Caenorhabditis elegans: one gene and its partner. The protein of the gene in region 1 interacts with the protein of each later gene in a pairwise test. Each region holds a gene or a part of one and is shown on either strand. Other genes may lie near its edges.

Region 1 (3,754 bases):
TTTTGCGCAAACTCGCAGTTATCATAGTAGCCGCCAGCGTGGTGTGTGATAATGATCCCGCCGCCCGAGCCTCCGATGCAAGTGCAGTTTCTCATCTGAAAATTTGGGAATTTGGAGCTCCGCTGGAAATAGCTGAAAAGCCACGGACTACACTTTCTAAATGATCATACTATCAAAAAATACCTGGAAATTTTTTGGGTAAAGTTTCAATAATTTTGGGAGCTTAGCTTTTGAGAAACATGAGTTTTCATGGGAAATTTTCGATTTTCAACTGAAATTTTCGATATTTATTTGAAATTTTAGAAGTGTGGTGGTAATTTTTAGGGTGAATTTTTTATTTATCTTGTTGAAATTTAGGTTAAAAACCAGCCTGGTAACTTTTTGGAAATTTTTGAAAAAACATTTTTTTTCAATTTTTTTCAATTTTAAGTTATAAAAATTTTGTGAAAAACTTACCTTCGGTGCAGCGTGATCCTTGACAACTACAGTATGACTGTCAGCATTACCAGACTGAAAATTGCAGTGCTCAATGATGGGCTCCACGTGCAGCCCGGTAACTATCATGGCGCAATTCGTAGTGGGATCCGTGTGGGCTTCCAGCAACTTTTCAGGTTCCAGGGCTTCCTCGGGCTCTCCAGGCTCTCCAGGAGCTCCAGGAGCTCCGCCGGGCTCCCCCACAGGCACCTCTTCACCAGCTCTGGGAGCATCCACCTCCATATCCTGAGCCACGTGAGCCTCGTGCTCCGTGTCCACCTCATACTTCACAGTCACATAGCCCATGTAGGCGCTGCTCTGGAATTCCAGTACAGTCGCGTGGCGTCCGGTGAGTACCACGGACGTGGCAATGTCTTCGGAGCCCGAGGCGCCGAGGATCTGAACGTCGGAGGTGATTCGGATGGTGTGCGTGACTTCATGGGTGCCTTCGTGCAGGAAGATCAGCTTTTCGTGGTGACCACCCTCGTCGTTTTCGTCGAGGAATCTGGAAATTTTTGGGATTAAGCCTGAACCTAAGCCAACGCTTAAGCCTAAGCCTAAGCCTAAGCCTAAGCCTAAGCCTAAGCCAAAGCCAAAGCCTAAGCCTAAGCCTGAGCATAAGCCTAAGCCGAAGGATCAGCATAAGCCTAAGCCTAAGCTTAAACCCACGCCTGAGTTTACGCCTAGGCCTAAGAATCAGCCTAAGCCTGAGCTTAAGCTTAAGCCTAAGCCTAAGCCGAACTCTAAGCTTAAGCATCGGCCTAAGCCCAAGCCTAAGTCCAAGTTCACACCTCAAGGCCTCCTCAATATGATCGAAACATTGAATATCGGCGGCTCCCACAAATTGCTCCAAATTTTTCATGACATGAACGCCGCGGCTCAACTGCTCGTAGGCCTCCTTCCACGGATTGAACTCTTCGTCTGAAATTAACTGTTTTTTTTTGCAGAAAACCTACATTAACCCCCCGGTCTACAGTAGCCCTATTAATTTTTAAATATCAGCATTTTGTTAGTCTTGTTGTTAGCTTTCAAATGACCCCCATCATGCCCGGGTTCCGAGCAGTTTTGGAAATTTGGGTCTCGCCACGCGGGGTACTGTAGCATCAGTTTCAGCTGTGTCGAAACTCAAAATCGTTGGAGCATAGGCATGATGGGTGTCATTTGAAAGCTCTCAGCGAGAGAAATCGAATGGCAATAATTTCAAGGTGACTGGGTTACTGTAGCGCGGGTTACGTAGCTTTTTCCAGTTCTCACCTGTAAACTTTTGCTTCGGCGCGGGTTGAAACTGAAAAACGGCATGTTCGGGGTGAAAAAGCGGCAGGCGATAGCCGAAGGTCTCCTGGTAAAGTACACGCCATTCTTCTTCCTCCTCGCCGGACATCTGCAAGCATGTAGGCTAGGCGGTGGGGAGAGGGGGCAGAGACGCAGACGGTGTAAGACACCTGTGAAGGTCGGCTGAGGGGGGGGGGGGGGTCTGGAGGCTATTGTTGTTATTGTTATGGTATTAGTAGAGGTCACACATAAAATTTTGGGGTAAAGTTGAGAAAATTTGGAAATTTCCGAGAAATTGGGAGTTGTCAAAAAAACGTTTTTAGGAAAAAGTTCAAAAATTCAAAAATTTCACAACTTTTTCAATTTTTGAGATATTTTTATCATTTTTTGGGAAAAATGATTGTGAAATTCTGAATTTTCCTACAAAATAACTCAAAATGACCGTAACAGAGAAATTTCAGTTTGCCAAGCGTTTTCGTGGCGGGACCTTGAAAATTTAGTTGCTGAAAAAACTGAAATTTTAAAAATTTCATAACTTTTTCCATTTTTGAGATATTTCTATAATTTTTAATGTTAAATAACAGTAGAAACTTGAATTTTAAGTTACAATTATTGTAAAATGTCTTACTCTGAAAATCTTGAATTGCTGAGAGTTTTCGTGGTGGGACCTAAAAATTGTAAAAATATTTTTTGGCAAAAATTTCAGATATTCAAAGTTTTCTAACTTTTTAATAAATTAAGATATTTCTACGATTTTTAATGCAAAATGACCGCAAAAATATGAATTTTCATGGAAAATTAATTAAAACTTTTTAATCAGAAGTTTTCGTGATGGCACCTTAACTTAAAATTTCAAAAAAAAAATTGAAAATTTTGGAATTTTCAAAACCTCACAACTTTCTCAATTTTGGAGCTATTTGCTTCATTTTTAGATTAAAATAAGCCCCGGAAATTCAATTTTCAGGTTCAAATAAACAACTTTAGCAAAATTCATAAATGACAGCACGCCACGAGTTTGCGTGGCAGGACCCAGAAAACTCGTGCCACGTGACGGATTTATGCAAAAATCCTTGGAAATCGGAGAGAGGGACAAAGAGAGACAGAGAGAGAGGAGGAAAAGATGACGGTACGGGGAGATATTGTATGCGGGAAATAGGTCACACTTCTTCTATATCTCTCCTCACTCTTCCACTTTTCCGTAACGAGGCCGCCGCCCGGCCAGCCGCGCGTACTAGCCTAGTACCGTCCCCTCCGGCCCACCCTGCGTCTCAGCATTGCGCAATATGTTGATTCACACCTGTTTGGATGGGGAGAGAAAGTTTTAAGGATCATTTTGAGCTAAAATTGACAAGAATTACGGAAAAATTGAAAAAGTTAGGATGGTTTGAAATTTTCAAAAAAAAAATTTTGAGGACCCCCACGGAAACTCTCGGTGGAATGATATTTTGCGAAATTTTAAAAGATTTTTTAAATTAACCTGTTAGTCTAAGTAACTGAACTATTTATAAGCTAAAAATTAACAGAATATCTCAAAAACTGAAAAAGTTATGAAGTTTTGAACTTTTTTAAAATTTGCCAAAAAAAAATTCAAAATCCTTCCACGAAAACTTATGACAGCCACAAATTTTGCAGCTTTCTTAGATAACGTACAATTTTTTGAAAAATATAAATTTTTAGCTTGTTTTAAATTAAAATTTGGTATATAAATCTTTAAAACTAAAAAAGTTAGGGGGTTTTGAAATTTTCCGAAAAAAATAAATTTAACTAAAAAAAATTTCGAGGACCCCCCACGGAAACTCTTGGTAGACTGATATTTTTCAAACTTTTAAGGATTTTTAAACTAAACTACTACTCCAAGCTTTGGAGCTTATTTTGTGCTAAAATTTGGCAAAGTGCCACAAAAACTGAAAAAGTTAGAAGGATTTGAAAAAAAACAAAAAATTTTCCAAAATTCCAAAAAAAAATTTTAAGGGCTTACAGGAAATCTCTTGGAAAACAGGCATTTTAC
Region 2 (3,754 bases), on another chromosome or scaffold:
AGACATATCATAATCAAAATATACAATCAATTAGGCCTACAATGATACTATACATCCGGAACATTCAAGTTTGGTAGACAGGGATTCGGTGAGAGAGGTTGGGAATTTTTGATAGAGACAACGGGAACGAGAACAAGTGAAAATAGGGTAAAAGTGGTAAATAGGGTAAATAAGGTAAAAAAGCAAAATTGAAAAACTTTGCACCATGAATGCTAGACCAGGAAATGTTATGAAAGAGATAGTGAATGGGATTGATAGTTTTTACAAATGATTTGGGAAATAACAATACGTTTGTAATTCGACAATTATCCGCACTCGCCCATCACATCGGCAAACCACTCCTCGACGTCGGTTTCAATTTTCTCGTGATGCACGACAAACGGATGCTGGAGGAGCATATCGTAATTGGGACGCATCGTTGGATCACGCTGCAGGCAGCTCTCGACGAGTTGACAGAAGTCCGGAGAGAATTTGGCCTGTAAAATTGTAAAATACATAAATACTAGTTGTGTACTGTTTCTAGCCGCCATAAAGCATATATTATGTCTACTGGTAGCTCTTAAAAGCTTTTTCTAGATGAATTTTTTACGAAGAGCACATACCGGATCCAGGCGCGGTGGCTCGTCATTGAGAATCTTGGACATCATGTCGAATTCGGTTCCGGCGTATGGGTACTGTCCGGTTGCCAGCTCGACCAAAGTAACACCAAAAGACCACACGTCACTGCGAATGTCATACGAGTCAAAGTTGTTGGGGTCGAGGCGCTCAGGACCCATGTACAGAGGGCATCCGGCTTGCTTCGAATGAGCACGAGACTCGATCAGTCTGCCAGCAATACCGAAATCGCAAAGCTTGATGACGCCACTCCAGTCGAGGAGAATGTTTGATGGCTTCACATCACGGTGCATGATTTGCTAAAAAAATCGGATTATATATTGTCCAAATGGTTCATCTGATTTATAAACTTACGTGCTTGGTTTTCAAGTAGTGCAGAGCTTTAATGATGCTCACACTCAACTTTCCAATAATTCTCTCTGGAATTGGCTGCTTGATGCGGATAAGCAGACGGTCAAGGCAAGTAGCCATGCACTCCATGCAGACACGGACGTCGAACTGAAAAAAATGATAATTGGAAAAGTCAAAGAATTCATAAAAATTCTTACGTTGGTGATGAAGTATCCGAAGCAACGTACAATGTACGGACAGTCGAAAGAGAGACAGATGACGTCAAGATCCATCAAAATGCGGGACATTTCATAACTGTTTGACGTCCGAGGCATCGTCTTCACAGCCATGATCACACTCTTGTATCTGCACTTTGTGACCGTACCGCAGCTTCCATGACCAATATCTTCCACGAACTGAAGCTCCTTCAAGTCAGCTTTACGACGGTTACCTAAAAATCAATTGTTACCGTTTCAAGATTATTTATTTAGCCAAATTACCTTGCAATGTGAGATATCCGGAGTTCTCCTCGGCCTGCTTCATGAGGTTCTTCACATTGTGGTCGTTACTACTACGGGATGGATGATGAGGCGCTGGCTGTGGCATTTGTTGCATGATCGGTTCACCACCAAGTCCTCCGAGCCCGCCAGGTCTGCCCATGCCAAGGTCGAAGTCTCTCTCCATCTTTTCACCTTAAAATTATTATTTTTAGTACAGAGAAAAAAAGAGATAAAGAAATATCAGGAAGAATCAAAATTTTGAATTTATATTTCTAGGATGAAAATATAAATTGTTGGGGCACGAAAAGAAGTGCACTAGCATTTCTAAGAATGAGAGTGGCTATACATATAAATAATAGGGGAAGTTATAAGAAAATGTCTTTGCTCTCATCATTACTCTCATCTCAATGCACTTTCGAAAAGTTCATGTACGAAATTAGAATGCATGATGTTGTTGCAAACAAGCCTCGTTTACGTCAATGGAAAGGCTCTTGCCTTTTGTGTTGGCTGAATATAGCAGCTGAAAACAAAAAGCGTATTAGCTTATACGACGAGGGGATCAAATGAGAAAGAGCTGCTGCCAAAACGAGAAAGGCAACGTTTTGAACTACTTTTCATTCTTGCCATGAGGATTAAATTGCATTACATCATGGTGAAAACATGGCATCACAGCAGCAAAAATGTCTCGAAAAGCGGCAAGACCGCATTGACGCCGTCGCAATTCCAATGCGGCGAGGGAGGAGGGAAGGGAGAGAAAAAACGAACGGCACACACACACACAAGTGAGACACACTGCGTAAATAAGTGCAAGAGTTACGTTGAAACACCGGGCACGCGACGCGACCGCGTGCGCACCCCCCTTCCGTTTCAAAACATTGGCGGTCCGTTCCCCATTTTTTTTTGTTTTCGACCTGTTTTTGCGATAGGTCAACTTTGAACTGAAGTTTATGTCAAAACGATTTGGTTATTTTGAATTTCCGGCATTGAACTGTTGAGTGAATAGAGTAAGAGTGTTAGAGAGAAAAAGAAAACAAACAAATTGTGATATGATAATTTCTGAAGGAAAAGTCAAGAAAAGCTGGGACTTTTCTGATTGATAATGATAAAAAACATTGATCATCATGTGAGGACAGCAACTATTATATAGTTTCTTTTGTAAAACAAAAAAAACGTTGGAAATTCAGAGAAAAGATTGTTTACCACTAATAATGTAATCGAATTGCGGTTAAAAAAGGCAAATAATAGTGTCGCGGAAAGTGGGAAAATTCCTAATATTTCGTAATTGAGAAACCATCGATTTCGAAATTAGGAGATAACATTGAGAATACTATTGTATGTATTTGAGAAGACGCAAACAAGAATTTCGACATTTTTTCTAATAAATGAGGAGACCCAATCAAATAAATAAAAACTATTTTTTTTTATATTTAAAAGCGGTGCTGGAAAATGTGGAAAGTCAAATTCTGAAAAACAACGAGGTGAAAACATTTTCTGATTTTAATTAGTCAGATAAATGCTAGAACACCAAATGCAAAAATCTCAAAATGTCTTGAATTCCATAAATAACAAATGCAGAATCAAGCCTAGTCATCGTGGCATTGTGGTCGTTACACTAAATCAGATATGGACCAGTTGTTGCATGACTCATCTCACAAGGTGCAGAGTTGGGAGCCTCTAACTTGTTTGTCGGCGACTGAGTTGATGGAAAATTATCAAAATTATGTCAAATCTTGATGGTTCATGATATGTTGAATTAATGCTTAATGTTTCTAGATATAGAGAATAGAACAAAAAAAAACTGGTCAGAGCAATTGCGCTGAACACAGAGAGCGTAGGAGCGGAGAGGAATCGATAATTGCGCTTTCATCCTTATCAGAAAAAATCATGATGTCTTTTATCATCCATATTTCGCAAAGTAAGACTGCCTCTTGGCAAGTGGTATTGGAGAACAAACACGTTTGCGTAGAGATTTACGAGATATACGATTAAATGTGATTGTTCGCCACACAAAAGGTCAGTTTCAAACAATTTTCTATTAATGGTCCAAACATGAAGGCATAACAAAAAAAGTTGCTGATGAGATTGCAATAAATACAAAATTTGAGTCACGGGGAGGCGGGGCTGCCACAATGAATGACTCACGTTACGGAGTGGGTGGGCGCGAAGCGGCTATTTCAAACAAATAAATAACCACACTGTTTATGGAGGAAAGAAGAATGAATGAACATTTTAAATTAATCAGAGAGCAGAATTATATTGGAAACATAATATTTTGATGATTGAAAATTGGGAAATTGCTGATCGAGTTA

What was found. Proteins that work in one complex are often made in the same cells at the same time.
Region 2: the proteins of fbxo-11.2 (region 1) and mek-1 interact in a two-hybrid assay, tested with the Caenorhabditis elegans proteins (one large-scale study listed by BioGRID).

What each region holds. Positions count from the first base shown.
Region 1 is NC_003281.10:1,051,388-1,055,141, forward strand, and holds the start of fbxo-11.2 (UBR-type domain-containing protein), read right to left. Parts: upstream 1,856-3,754; coding exon 1,729-1,855; intron 1,396-1,728; coding exon 1,266-1,395; intron 1,202-1,265; exon of another isoform or gene 997-1,201; intron 980-996; coding exon 457-979; intron 96-456; coding exon 1-95.
Region 2 is NC_003284.9:7,477,131-7,480,884, reverse strand, and holds the start of mek-1 (Dual specificity mitogen-activated protein kinase kinase mek-1), read right to left. Parts: upstream 1,638-3,754; 5' UTR 1,630-1,637; coding exon 1,446-1,629; intron 1,397-1,445; coding exon 1,164-1,396; intron 1,114-1,163; coding exon 970-1,113; intron 915-969; coding exon 603-914; exon of another isoform or gene 477-602; coding exon 306-476; 3' UTR 1-305. UniProt on the Caenorhabditis elegans protein: Dual specificity protein kinase which may phosphorylate kgb-1 and thereby is an essential component of the JNK pathway composed of mlk-1, mek-1 and kgb-1. May also have a synergistic role with sek-1 in phosphorylating pmk-1.